3 linked regions of the Oryctolagus cuniculus genome follow. The protein of the gene in region 2 interacts with the protein of the main gene of each other region in a biochemical or structural test. Links are inferred from orthologs where the notes say so. Each region holds a gene or a part of one and is shown on either strand. Other genes may lie near its edges. The genes, in order: JAM3, PARD3 and JAM2.

Evidence for each region.
Region 1: the proteins of PARD3 (region 2) and JAM3 form a complex in vitro, tested with the Homo sapiens proteins (2 studies listed by BioGRID and IntAct, with this or other methods). The link is inferred for Oryctolagus cuniculus from reciprocal best matches to the Homo sapiens genes PARD3 and JAM3.
Region 3: the proteins of PARD3 (region 2) and JAM2 form a complex in vitro, tested with the Homo sapiens proteins (2 studies listed by BioGRID and IntAct, with this or other methods). The link is inferred for Oryctolagus cuniculus from reciprocal best matches to the Homo sapiens genes PARD3 and JAM2.

What each region holds. Positions count from the first base shown.
Region 1 is NC_091432.1:128,328,911-128,332,639, forward strand, and holds part of JAM3 (junctional adhesion molecule C), read left to right. Parts: intron 1-822; coding exon 823-952; intron 953-1,039; coding exon 1,040-1,094; intron 1,095-1,345; coding exon of another isoform or gene 1,346-1,381; exon of another isoform or gene 1,382-3,729. UniProt on the Homo sapiens protein: Junctional adhesion protein that mediates heterotypic cell-cell interactions with its cognate receptor JAM2 to regulate different cellular processes. Plays a role in homing and mobilization of hematopoietic stem and progenitor cells within the bone marrow.
Region 2 is NC_091444.1:107,619,801-107,624,118, forward strand, and holds the start of PARD3 (partitioning defective 3 homolog), read left to right. Parts: upstream 1-1,340; 5' UTR 1,341-1,355; coding exon 1,356-1,499; intron 1,500-4,318. UniProt on the Homo sapiens protein: Adapter protein involved in asymmetrical cell division and cell polarization processes. Seems to play a central role in the formation of epithelial tight junctions. Targets the phosphatase PTEN to cell junctions.
Region 3 is NC_091435.1:20,182,064-20,185,792, reverse strand, and holds part of JAM2 (junctional adhesion molecule B), read left to right. Parts: intron 1-2,058; coding exon 2,059-2,166; intron 2,167-3,565; coding exon 3,566-3,581; intron 3,582-3,729. UniProt on the Homo sapiens protein: Junctional adhesion protein that mediates heterotypic cell-cell interactions with its cognate receptor JAM3 to regulate different cellular processes. Plays a role in homing and mobilization of hematopoietic stem and progenitor cells within the bone marrow.

The sequences.
Region 1 (3,729 bases), on a different chromosome or scaffold from region 2:
GACTCACTCACATTTGAGAACCAGCATACTAGAGTAATGGAGAATTTTGAGTTTTCAAATTAACTGACTTTTGTTGATAAATTCCCTGCATTCTTATGTGCATAAAGGAAACAGCCACCAGTGCTCTCACAGGGAAGTGCATCGCCCAGCATGTAGAAATGATAAAGGACTCCCAGGGACTTTCCTCTAAGAGGCCTGCAGGTGGGAGGCTAGGGGGCCAGTGCAGTAGAAGGGCAAGGTCTCTCCTAGTTTTTTTTTTTTTTTTAAGATTTATTTATTTATTTGAAATACAGAGTTACAGAGAGGAAGAGACAGAAAAATCTTCCATCCACTGTTTCACTCCCCAGATGGCCACAACAGCCAGGGCTGGGCCAGGATGAATCCAGGAGCTTCTTCCCAGTCTTGGGAACTAGCTTTCGTCTTTCAAATAATTCACAAGAAAGTGAGATCCTGGAAATTAATTTTTACTCACTTTGGATTCCTGGCACCTAAACTTGTCCATACAATGTAACCATTTCTCCCATTAGTAACAGTCTTGGGCATTTAGCCAGAGGATTTTAAATTTTTCTATATATTACCAAGCCCTTTGTAACACAGAATGCAGTGTCAGTGCATTTGAACTGTCAGCCTCTGTTCTTTTCACCCCTTCAGTCAGGGTTATGGTGTTCTAGATGAAGAAAGCTCTTAGTGCCCTCAGTTTGCTCTGGTTGGCTGGGGTGGGTAGAGGGCTGAGTCTGGGAGGGCGGGGGAAGGGGCTGAGGGCTCAAGTCTTCCTAAGGAACAGCTGGTATGTGTCATCTTGTCCCTCAACTTCCTTCTCAGATGACCTCAACATCGCTGGCATCATTGGGGGTGTTCTGGTTGTCCTTGCTGTCCTGGCCCTGATAACGCTGGGCATCTGCTGTGCATACAGACGTGGCTACTTCATCAACAACAGGCAGGATGGAGAGAGGTGAGCCCGCCTTGCCTGAAAAAATCTAAGCCCAAGCTAGCCTTGATCAGAGCATGAGGCCACTGAATTGCCCCCTTCTGTCCACAGTTACAAGACCCCAGGGAAGTCAGATGGAGTTAACTATATCAGGACAGACGAAGAGGTAAGTAGCTGGAAGTCCAGGTATGCCCAGCCGGGAAACCAAGTGGGCCCCATAGGGAGATCTTTGAGTTCCTGTGTACACCCTGCACTCCTCAGTCCTTCACGGTGGCATGCACACACTAATGGGATTCACACTTGCTTTTAGTATGGCTCAGTCTCCAGGACACGTTTGGCCCACATTTAGTTTGCTAGTTTTTCTGTTTCTCACTGCCCCTGGGGTCTCTTGGCTGTTAATCTGTATTGGCTTTGCAGGGTGACTTCAGGCACAAGTCATCATTTGTGATCTGAAACCTGGCCGTGTGGCTGAAAGCAGTGCAAATACCTCTACTAGAATCTCCTGTCCGGGGCAGCCGTGAACCTGCTGAGTGCACCAGGACAGAGCTTGACACTCATGCAGAAGCTTTTTGTTTTGGCCAAAGTTGACCGCTACTCCTTTCTTACTCTTTTAACAAGCCACACGAATAAAAGATTTTTCCTCAAGATGGGCATGGTAACCACAAGGAAACAGAATGAACACACCGACTTGGATTCCCACGCCTATTAGGGTGATCACAGCAGCTCTCAGGCACAGGCTCTGTGAAGCCAGTGTATTGTCATTGGCTGTCAAGCAGCCAGATGGGCCCATGGGAGGTGACAAGGCAGCTGTGTGACTGCCCTCAGCCCACATTTGCATCTGTGAACCCAGAAAAAGGCTCACATGACAGCCTTGTTCCACTGCCAACAGGCCCCCCACACTGTGTTCCTAAAGGCTCTGGTGGTTACTGTTGTAGTAGCCATCTTGGAAAATCTTTTTGGATCAGCATTTTATAAAAACAACCAAAAATCAGGAAGGTAAATCCTTGCTGGAAGAGGGGTCTTCTAATCTGGGGAACCCTGCATGTCCAAGAGGGTGTCAGCATTGAAGCAAAACCTCTGTCATAGGCTAAGTCAGAAATGGTACGGAAATATGCTTTTTTATGGGTCTCGTTTATTTTATAAAATTTTACATTCTAAATTTCTGCTAAAGATGTATTTTGATTATTGAAGAAAATTTCTATTTAAACTGTAAATATATTGTCATACAATGTTAACCTATTTTTTTAAACAAAGGTCAATTTAATGTAGAAGTTCCAAGCAAATAGTGTTGAATTGGAAAATATCAGTAATTAAGAGTATTTTATCCAAGGACTCCTCTCAAGAAAGCTTACTGGAACATTCCTTTTGCCACATAAGGTTTAGCATTTTTCATAAGAGAACTTAGGACATCTGTACATCAGATGGTTGTTACTTAGGAAACCTTTGAAAAATTCTCATCTAGCAGTATTGAAATCTGTCTGTCCAAGCAAACCTAAGGAGCTCTCAGGTTAGCTTTGAACTGCCTCTCCCCAAGACCCCCGGAAGCCTTCAGGTGTCCACGTAGAGACCACTCTGTTCACCTCCCAGGGTGAGTCACAGCCAGGATGCCCCCCGCCCCCTTCCATCTTTACAACCCCTGAGGTGCTGGACCCTTCGCCTCCACGGTGGTATGCACGCGTCCTGGAGCACTTGTGGCATCCCAGCCTTTGGGTTCTCGTGACAGACCTTTTTATGGCTATGGACGGCTCACAAAACAAAGCAGTTACTGCCATTTCTAAAGTTCATTTTAATTATTTGTGTAGTTCAATGAGGTTGTCCAGGGCCAAGGGCAGTTTTGAAATCAAGTTTGTCCACTGCAGTATTTTTACAGAGGAATCCCACCGTTCCTCTTTGCCATGAAGAAAGCGCCCGGCACCACAGGTTCTCCGTCTGCTCACAATAAAGCATTGTGTGGCAGCAGCCAGCCCAGCCTTCTGAAGCATGTCGGGCAGTACAGCCAGGGTAAAAAGCCTGATGGCGAGGACAGCACACGCCTGAATCAAAAGCAGTTTTCTAATTTTGATTTAAAATATTTTATCTGCCCAAGACAGTGCTCACTTTGTGGGGGACATTAAAAACATCATCCAAAGCCTTTGTTCTTCAAGAGCAGATGTTCTTAGCCTCAGAGACACCGCTGGGCTACACTCATGATGTGAAGGGGTTTGAAGCAAGGAGTTTCTCAAAAGGAACATCTAATTCCATTGTGTGCCTAAAGGATGGTTTTTATGTAGAAAAACATAGTCACCTTGTGATTCAACTTTCAGTGTCTTAATTTTTTTGTACTTTGACAGTTTTTTTACTTGAGCCTTTTGTTGACTTTCCTTTGTAAGTTATGTGACATACTTTGTTACGGGATATTTTGCAGAAGTCGTAGGCAACAATTCCTCCGTGGTACCTGTCTTCTTTTGCATTGCTGTCTCGCCTGCTTAGAGTTAAGACTGTCCCTTCATCTTCACCTCCTCTTGGTAGGAGGGGATAGCTCCCCAGTCTACTTCTTGGGGCTTAACACTCTGCTCCCTTCTCGGCTGTCGTAAGATGGGGTGGCCTGTTGCCTCCCTTCCTACACCCCAACCATCTACCCCGGTGCCATGGGAGCTGGATCTGTCAGAGGAGACAGCATTAAGGTGTGGAGTTGGGGAAGCAGTTGCCTGTTACTGTGAAACTGTAGACAGAGCAGGAGCCCTCAAGTATTTTTAAGATGTGAATGTGAATTGAAGGCTCAAGGCCTGAACAGGCGGTGCTTCTGGCTTTTGGTGTAGATG
Region 2 (4,318 bases):
CCTTGCTAATTCATGCTATGACAGAGCACACAGGCCAAGTCTGCTCCTCTTCCTTCATGACACCCAGAGGCTTCTAAAAGCTTAATTCATTTTATTTATTTGAGTGTCAGAGACACTGAGAGAGATAGGCAGAGATCTTCTATGTGCTGGTTCACTCCCCAAATGGCTGTAACAGCCAGGAGCCAGGAACTTTGTCTGGATCTCCCACATGGGTGCAGGGGCCCAAACACTTGGGCCGTCCCCTGCTGCCTCCTAGGGTGTGCATTAGCAGGGAGCTGGCGTGGGGTGTAGAGCAGGACTCCACCCCAGGCACTCTGATACTGGGTGCAGGTGCCCCCCAGGGCATCCTAACCGCTGTGCCAAACGCCCACCCCGTGGTAGGTTTTTGGGCAAAGGGTACCTTGCATTCCATTAGCTGCCCGATGGTGGTCCTGGGAAGAGCCTGGTTCTCTTTGTTCTAGTGGCCATCAGCGTAATGCTGCTGCGCTCTGGGCAGCTTCTGTCAGACAGATTTAGAACACCAGGTGCTTGTTGCACAGGTGTCTGAATTAAAGAGACTTAAAGAAACCCTCACGTTTCCAGTTCTCAAGCTCCCTGTGTGGGGATGGCACCTGTTCTCAAAGCAGTGATTTCTATAGCATGCTTCAGTGCGGTGGGGCTCCTCGTGGGTTCTTCCCTGCTGTGTGGCTTCTTTTTTGAAAAAAGATGAAGTCACAGGGCTTGCTGAAGTTAAGTGTCCGTGGACGACCAGGGAGCGCGAGGTCTCGTCGGAGCCTGGAGTATGCCGTCTGCTGTCCGCGTGGTGTTTGATGCCTGCGGGGCCACAGAGCAGACGTGCTTGGTTCCGGAATACTCTGAGGGTGCTTCATCCACGGGTGACCAGCGCGGTCCTGCCTTGGTCGTGGTCTTTGGTGGCTGCTTCTGTTTTGCTTTGAAATCATGCATCGGTTCTCTTGGCTGCGTCGTGATCAGTTTGCAGTTGCCTTGTGTTGTGTGCATTTATGCTAATTCTACTGTAAATGTTTGCCTGGAATCCGTATTCTTCTGCAGGCACCAGACTCATTTCTTCTGGTGTTCAGCCAGAGAAACGGGAGCGTCTCCCAGCACTGCAAGAAAACTGGCAGTGCTAGGGCTCTGGAAAAAGACTGCTGAATGTGCCCCTGCTGTGCCGGCTGCGTAAGTGATTTTCAAGGGCAGTTTTGCCTTAACCTTACCCTTGGCCTCGGAGGTCACGTGTTGCATGTGAGATGTCGCCTGCAGCTGTGCGGGGAGGGCGTCGTGGTGCGTCTTATTACCAGCGGTGTTTGGGTTGCTGCTTTTCTGATGAGTGTGGAAGATGATTTTCTGATGAGAGAATGGAAGCCCGGCAGGCGCTTGCTGTTGCCCTGGGGGGTCCCTGTGACCAGAACGTGTGTGGCCCCTCATCTGTGTGTGTCGCTGAGGTGGCTCCGTCTTGGAAGACGCCGGGTTCAAGGAGAAGCCCATCCTGTTTCTCAGAGGTGGACCGTGGGAGAGCTGGTGGGGGGCTCACGTCTGAGCGTTTGTCCAACGGAGAGTGAAGCGGGAAATGGACAGTGGGTAAAGCGGCTGCCTGCGGCGCCTACGTCCCGTATGAGCACCGGTCAAAGCTGCTTCATGTCCCGGCTGCTCCACCTCGACGCAGCTCCCTGCTATGGCCTGGGAAAGCAGCAGAAGGTGACCCAAGGGCTTGGACCCCTGCACCCATGTGGGAGACCTGGATGGAGCTCCGGGCTTCAGCCTGGTCCAGCCCCAGCCATTGCGGCCATTTGGGGAGTGGGCCAGTGGGTGGAAGATAGGTCTCCCTCTGTAACTGTGCAGAATGACTGAGTGACCAAGCCAGCAGGGCACTTGCCGGGCGCTCTGAATCCATGAAGTTCACAGGAGAACATGAGGCACTGCTGAGGGGGGGGTGGTTCCCCAGGAGGGCGCTGTGTCCAGGAAAGATGTTGAGGAAACGTGGTTTTCCTAAGCTCAACAATTAGAATGTCATCTTTGTTCCCATTGAATCAGCAAACCCGGAAATGGTTGACAGGCTCAGTGCCCGTGGACATCGTTGGCGACGGTTTGTCCGGATTCAGAAAATCTGTGAAAGCGTCCGTGTGCTTCCTCTCGTCCTCTCTGATGGCGAGTGCCCCTAGGAGAGGGAAGTTATGGGTGGCGATATTCAGTTCCCCAGGCTTTTGCTTCTGCAAGAACTGAGTGGTGTAGAAGTCTGACAGCAGGAGCCTGATTGTTGTTTATTTAAGGTTATTAGAGTTGCACGCAGAGACAGAGAGCGAGATCTTCCACCTGCTGGCTCACTCCCCAAGTGGCTGTAGCAGCCAGATCAGGGCCAGGTTGGAGCCAGGAGCTTCATCTGGGTCCCTGATGAGGTGCAGGGGCCCAAGCACTTGGGCCATCTTCTACTGCTTTCCCCGGCCTTTAGCAGGAAACTGGGTTGAAAGTGGAGCAGCTGGGAATCGAACTGGTGCCTGTGTGGTATGCTGGCATCACAGGTGGCAGCTTAACCCACAGTACCACAGCAGGAGCCTTATTCCAGAGGCCACAGGCCGTCCCTTAGGAGGGATCCTGTGAGCCCCGAGATGGACGTGAAGCCTGTGTCTCAGAGTGAAGAGAGGTTACGTGTGTTGTGAAAACTGTGATAGGAACGAACGCCAAGCATGTTATCACCAAGGCTCTGTCCGAATGCTCTTTGTTGACAGGTGGAGGGCTTATAGATTTCATTTTTTCTTAAACGATTATAGTTTTTACCGAGGTGATTGGGTCAGGGGCCGGTGTTGTGGTGCTGTGGGTTAAGCCGCTGTCTGTGATGCGGCTGTCCGTTTTGGGGTGCCTGTTCAATTCCTGGCTGCTCTGCTGCCTGCCATCGAGTCTGGGAAGGCAGTGGATGGTGGCCCAAGTGGTTGGTCTCCCTGCCACCCACCTGGGAGACCCGGATGGAGTTCCAGGCTCCTGGCTTTGGCCTGGCCGAGCCCCACTTGTTGGGGATATTTGGCAGTGAAACAGTGGATGGAAGATTCTTTCTCTCTTCCCCTGTCTCTGTCACTCTGCCTTTCAAATAAATAATAAAATCTTTTTTTTTTTTTTTTTTTTGACAGAGTTAGTGAGAGAGAGACAGACAGAAAGGTCTTCCTTCTGTTGGTTCACCCCCCAAATGGCAAATAACAACTGCGCTGTGCTGATCCGAAGCCAGGAGCCAGGTGCTACCTCCTGGTCTCCCATGCAGGTGCAGGGCCCAAGCACTTGGGCCATCCTGCACTGTCATCCCGGGCCACAGCAGAGAGCTGGCCTGGAAGAGGAGCAACCGGGACAGAATCCGGCACCCCAACCGGGACTAGAACCTGGGGTGCCGGTGCCGCAGGTGGAGGATTAGCCTAGTGAGCCGCAGCGCCGGCCAGTAATAAAATCTTTTAGAAGAATAGATTCAGCTGTGGTAAGACGAACGTGAGATGGTGAGATGCTAGGGCGACTTTGTCTTCAGGCCCAGGCGTGCGCCAGCCGTGTTCTTGCTGTGGCCACGGACACGGCTTTCCTGAGTGTTTACTGAAGCAGAGGCAGCGTGTCTGTGTCTTTCTCACAGCCTTGCTTGCTCGGAAGGGAATGCAAGCTACAGAATCACGTAGAGACACGTTTTCTGTAGGCATTTTAGAGTGAATCCTTTAATCATCAAAAGAGTCAAGTCTTTTTTTAATACGGAATTTAACACATGAGATTTTCATGGTCACGGCAAATGCATGTCAATTATAACAGAATTCTCCTGTTCCTGTTATAGTAGCACAAACAGCAGACTCCATGTAGTTCACAGATATAATTCTTTATATGTGTGTGTGTGTGTGCATTTGAAAGAGAAAGCGGTCTTCCATCTGCTGGTTTACTCCCCAGATGGTCTCAACAGCCAGGGCTGGGCCAGGCTGAAGCCAGGAGCTTCTTCTGGGTCTCCCACGTGGGTGCAGGGGCCCAGGTACTTGGGCCATCTCCTGCTGCTTTCCCAGGTGTATTAGCAGGGAGCTGGATTGGAAGTGGAGCAGCTGGGACTCGAACTGGTAGCCACATGGGACGCCAGTGTCGCAGGCCATGGCTTTACTGTGTGCTTACTGTGCTCTTGAAGGCCCTGTCCTGCCCCGGATGGCCGTGATAGACGTCCCTGTGTAAGAATGGCCGCACAGTGGACACGCTGACCTTCACTCCCAGCACAGATGCAGGCCAGGGCTTTAACCCGCTGCGCCACAGCACTGGCCCCCATGTTAGCTTTTTATCTGTATATATTTCCCTTTGTAATTCTGTAGAGAGATTGTGA
Region 3 (3,729 bases), on a different chromosome or scaffold from region 2:
ATAACCTTGTGTCATATGCATTATTTCTATTTATTTTTGCTTCCATTTAAATGATCATAAGTGTTTTAAGGAATAATATCTATGAACTTGTGATTTTGATATTCTAGTTACTTTTTCCCTAGCACCCAATAACTATATAAGAAACAAAACTTAAAACTTTGTTTTCCAGGAGGACCACTTTAATTTGAAAATAATTCCTACTTATCTACTCTTGAGGTATAAGCTAGCTTAAAAGTTAAAATTAGTTTAGTACTCATCCATTAAGACTAGGTGTTTCGTGACTTGGTTTGGCATTTCCATCTTTTGAAATACAAAGAAACTTCAAAAAGTTTCTGGAAAATGGAATTGAAAGGTAAGCTTATTTCATGTAAAAGGAATTTGAAATCCATGTGTATTTTTCTCATCATATGCATTTCCATGGATTTTTGTGGTGACCTCTCATTATATGAATTTTTGAATTCATTTTCTTTGTGAATTATTACTAGTAACTTGTAAAGAAAACCAGACTCTGTTAACTGTTCTGCAGAAATTCTGTAGGACTTGCTGATGATTTCCAAGATGCCTCGTTGAACAGATTCAGCAGATCCCAATCCTACTTTCCCTTTCACCAGTTCGACTTCTTTCTTTTACTGTAGAATAATGGCATCTTCCTTTTAAAGTGGACTTTTCTCCCCCAAAGAAAGAACACAGAACATTTTCAGACTTATTGTTACATTTTCTCTTTGCTGAAGCTTAATACAGTTGTATGACTTGCTCAGTACCTCACAGAAGATGACAAATGAATGCAACGTACCTCTAATTCACTCTTCTTCCATCCTCAGTTTCCTTGAAGAAAACAGTGTAAAATGTGTATCCTGACTTAGCACTTACTGGACAAGAAATTTTTTGTCAGAATTTGCATTTAGGGTAAAATATTCATGGATGTCAAATTCTCCTACCAAGTACAGGACATTTTTTTTTTTTGTCAAATAATTGCCCTTAGATTGGACATACTACTGTATATATCAAATTTATGGACTACTACTATAAAAAAGAGTATATTTTAGAATTATATGTTTTTTGTTTGAAGATTTATTTATTTAAAAGGCAGTTACAGAGAGGGGAAAAGAGCACTTCCTTCTGCTGCTTTGCCCACAATGGCCACAACAGCCTAGGCATGGGCAGGCTGAAGCCAGGAGCCTAGAACTCCATCCAGGTCTCCCAGTTGGGTGGCGGGGAGCCAAGCATTTGGGCCCTCTTCTGCTGCTTTCCCAGGAGCATTAGCAGGGAGTTGGATTGGAAGTGGAGTGGCTGACACTCACTGGGACTCATATGGGATGCCAGCATCCAGGCAGCGGCTTAACCTGCTGTGCTACCATGCTTGCCCCAGAACTATATGCTTTTTTCTTTTTAAATATTTATTGATTGATTTGAAAGTTAGAGTCGTAGAGAGACATGGATCGACAGAAAGATAGAGATATCTTCCATCTGCAGGTTCATTGCCTGAATAGCTGCAATGGCTAGGGTTGGGCCAGGCCAGAGCAGGAGCTGGGCACTTCATTCAGGTCTCCCAAATAGGTGTAGGGGCCCGAGTACCTGAGTCATCTTCCACGGCTTTTCCAGGTGCCTTAGCAGGAAGCTGGATTGGAAGTGGAGTAGCCAGGACTCAAGCTGGTGCCCATATGGGATGCCAGTGCTGCAGGCAACTGCTTACCCACAATGGCGCCAACCCAAACAGTATTGTTTTCTTTTTTTAATTTTGCTTTTAACCAATATTAAATTCTGTGACTTATCTCATGCCCAAATTAATGTAAAAGAATACCAAATAAATACATTTTATTTCGGGATCATAGAACTTTTTTAAAATTTAAGATCCTTATAAAACTTAGTTCTATTAATATTGCAGTCAATTTTGAGCCATGTCCTGGAAGTGAATTAGCTGAACAAGCTACAAAAATAAGAAACTTTGCTTTGTGATTTGACTATAAAGCGGGAGCTTTGTTTGAACCTTTTCCATGTCATGCTCCCTCTGCTCAGCTACCTGAAATGGATTCATGCGTGGTTTACTTCACATTCTAGATGACCTCAACATAAGTGGCATCATAGCAGCCGTAGTGGTGGTGGCCTTAGTGATTTCGGTTTGTGGCCTTGGCGTGTGCTATGCTCAGAGGAAAGGTTACTTTTCAAGTAAGTGCACTTTCACAACTTCCGATGGACATACCCTAAAGACTTTCTAGAAAACTCTGGAAAATGTTTGTTGTTGATTTTCTACTACAGAAAATCTCTATGATGACATGCAGGTGGGTTACAAAGCACCGTGGCAACCCTAGGAAGAAAAGACAGAACTATCTCATTATAAAATTGCAGGAAACAACAGAGATATGTGAGACATCCGAGACATGGCACTCTGCCATGAGATAGATATATTCATTGTAGGCCAATATTTATAGCTTATTTATATGTGTTTAAGATTTTTTTTAAGTTAGGAATTATATGTCTCAAGAGATAAACTAATTTCTTATTTTGTAAGCAGTTTCATTGTAATAAATGAAATATTTATAAGTACAGAATAGTGAATTATTGAATGTCAAATGCACAGATGTATTTAGATGAGAATTGTTCAGTCAAAACTAGGAACCTAATGTATTAGTGTTGTTTCTGTACGGGGATTTTCATTCTTCAAGTTTACAGTAGAACTCTATCAGGAGATACATTGAATATTATATGTGATAAATTTTTTCTGTGAACATGGATCCAAAGAGATTTTCTAGAACTAAGAATAACTGCTCTGTGAATTAATAATAATTATTCATGTTTATAGTATTCCAATGTACTCTATTGTAATATAATTTTATGAATGAACTCCACCTGTGTCCCCCTGCTGGTTACCAATGAAAGTACACACTAGTACGATGCCTGTACACATTCAAAATTTATCATCTGAGTATTTTAATGAAGCATTCCTGAGCAAAGTTTTCTTAAAATAGTGAATTAGTTAAAGAGCATACTTGGATACTAGGAGTTCATTTGCCAAGAATGTTGCTTCACATTTAATCTGGCAGAAAACCTAGTCAAGAGAGCCATAATACTTTGACTTGCGTTTAGAATAGGAGCTGGCAAACTATGACAAGAGGACCAAATCTGGCCCCCCATCTGTTTGTCTATTGGCCCATGAGCTAAAAACAGCTTTTACAGATGAAAATTTGCAGTCTATACGATGATAGGGAGCACTAGCTTTCAACTGAAATTAAGGGGAAAATTCCTTTCTTCTAACTATTAAACCTGTATTATAAGACTTTGATTATTATTCAGTTTTGAATGTCATCAATAGAAATTTTAGAAATGTGCTTTCTGTCTTGTTGTAAAAGTACCTGTGTATATTGTTGATATTTGCCTCCAGACCCCCGAAGTTTAAAATATTACTGTCTGGACTCTTTACAGTAAAAATTTGCCAGTCCTTGATTTAGAAAGTACAAGTGTCAGCAGGTGAGAACCGAGGTGTTTTAGAAATTAAGCTCTGTGACTCTGTATCATTCCGTGTTATCTCTTGCATTAATGACACATACTTTTTTTTTTTTTTTTGTAGAAGAAACCGCCTTCCAGTAAGTATACCTTCTTTAAGTTTATTCCTTTTCCCCTGTATGAAGTAGTTTCCCATTAGTCATCCAAGGGAATGAGAGAGGAAGGAGGAGGGTGGGGTGGGAAGTATCACTATGTTACTAAATCTGTATGTATGAAATTTGTATACCT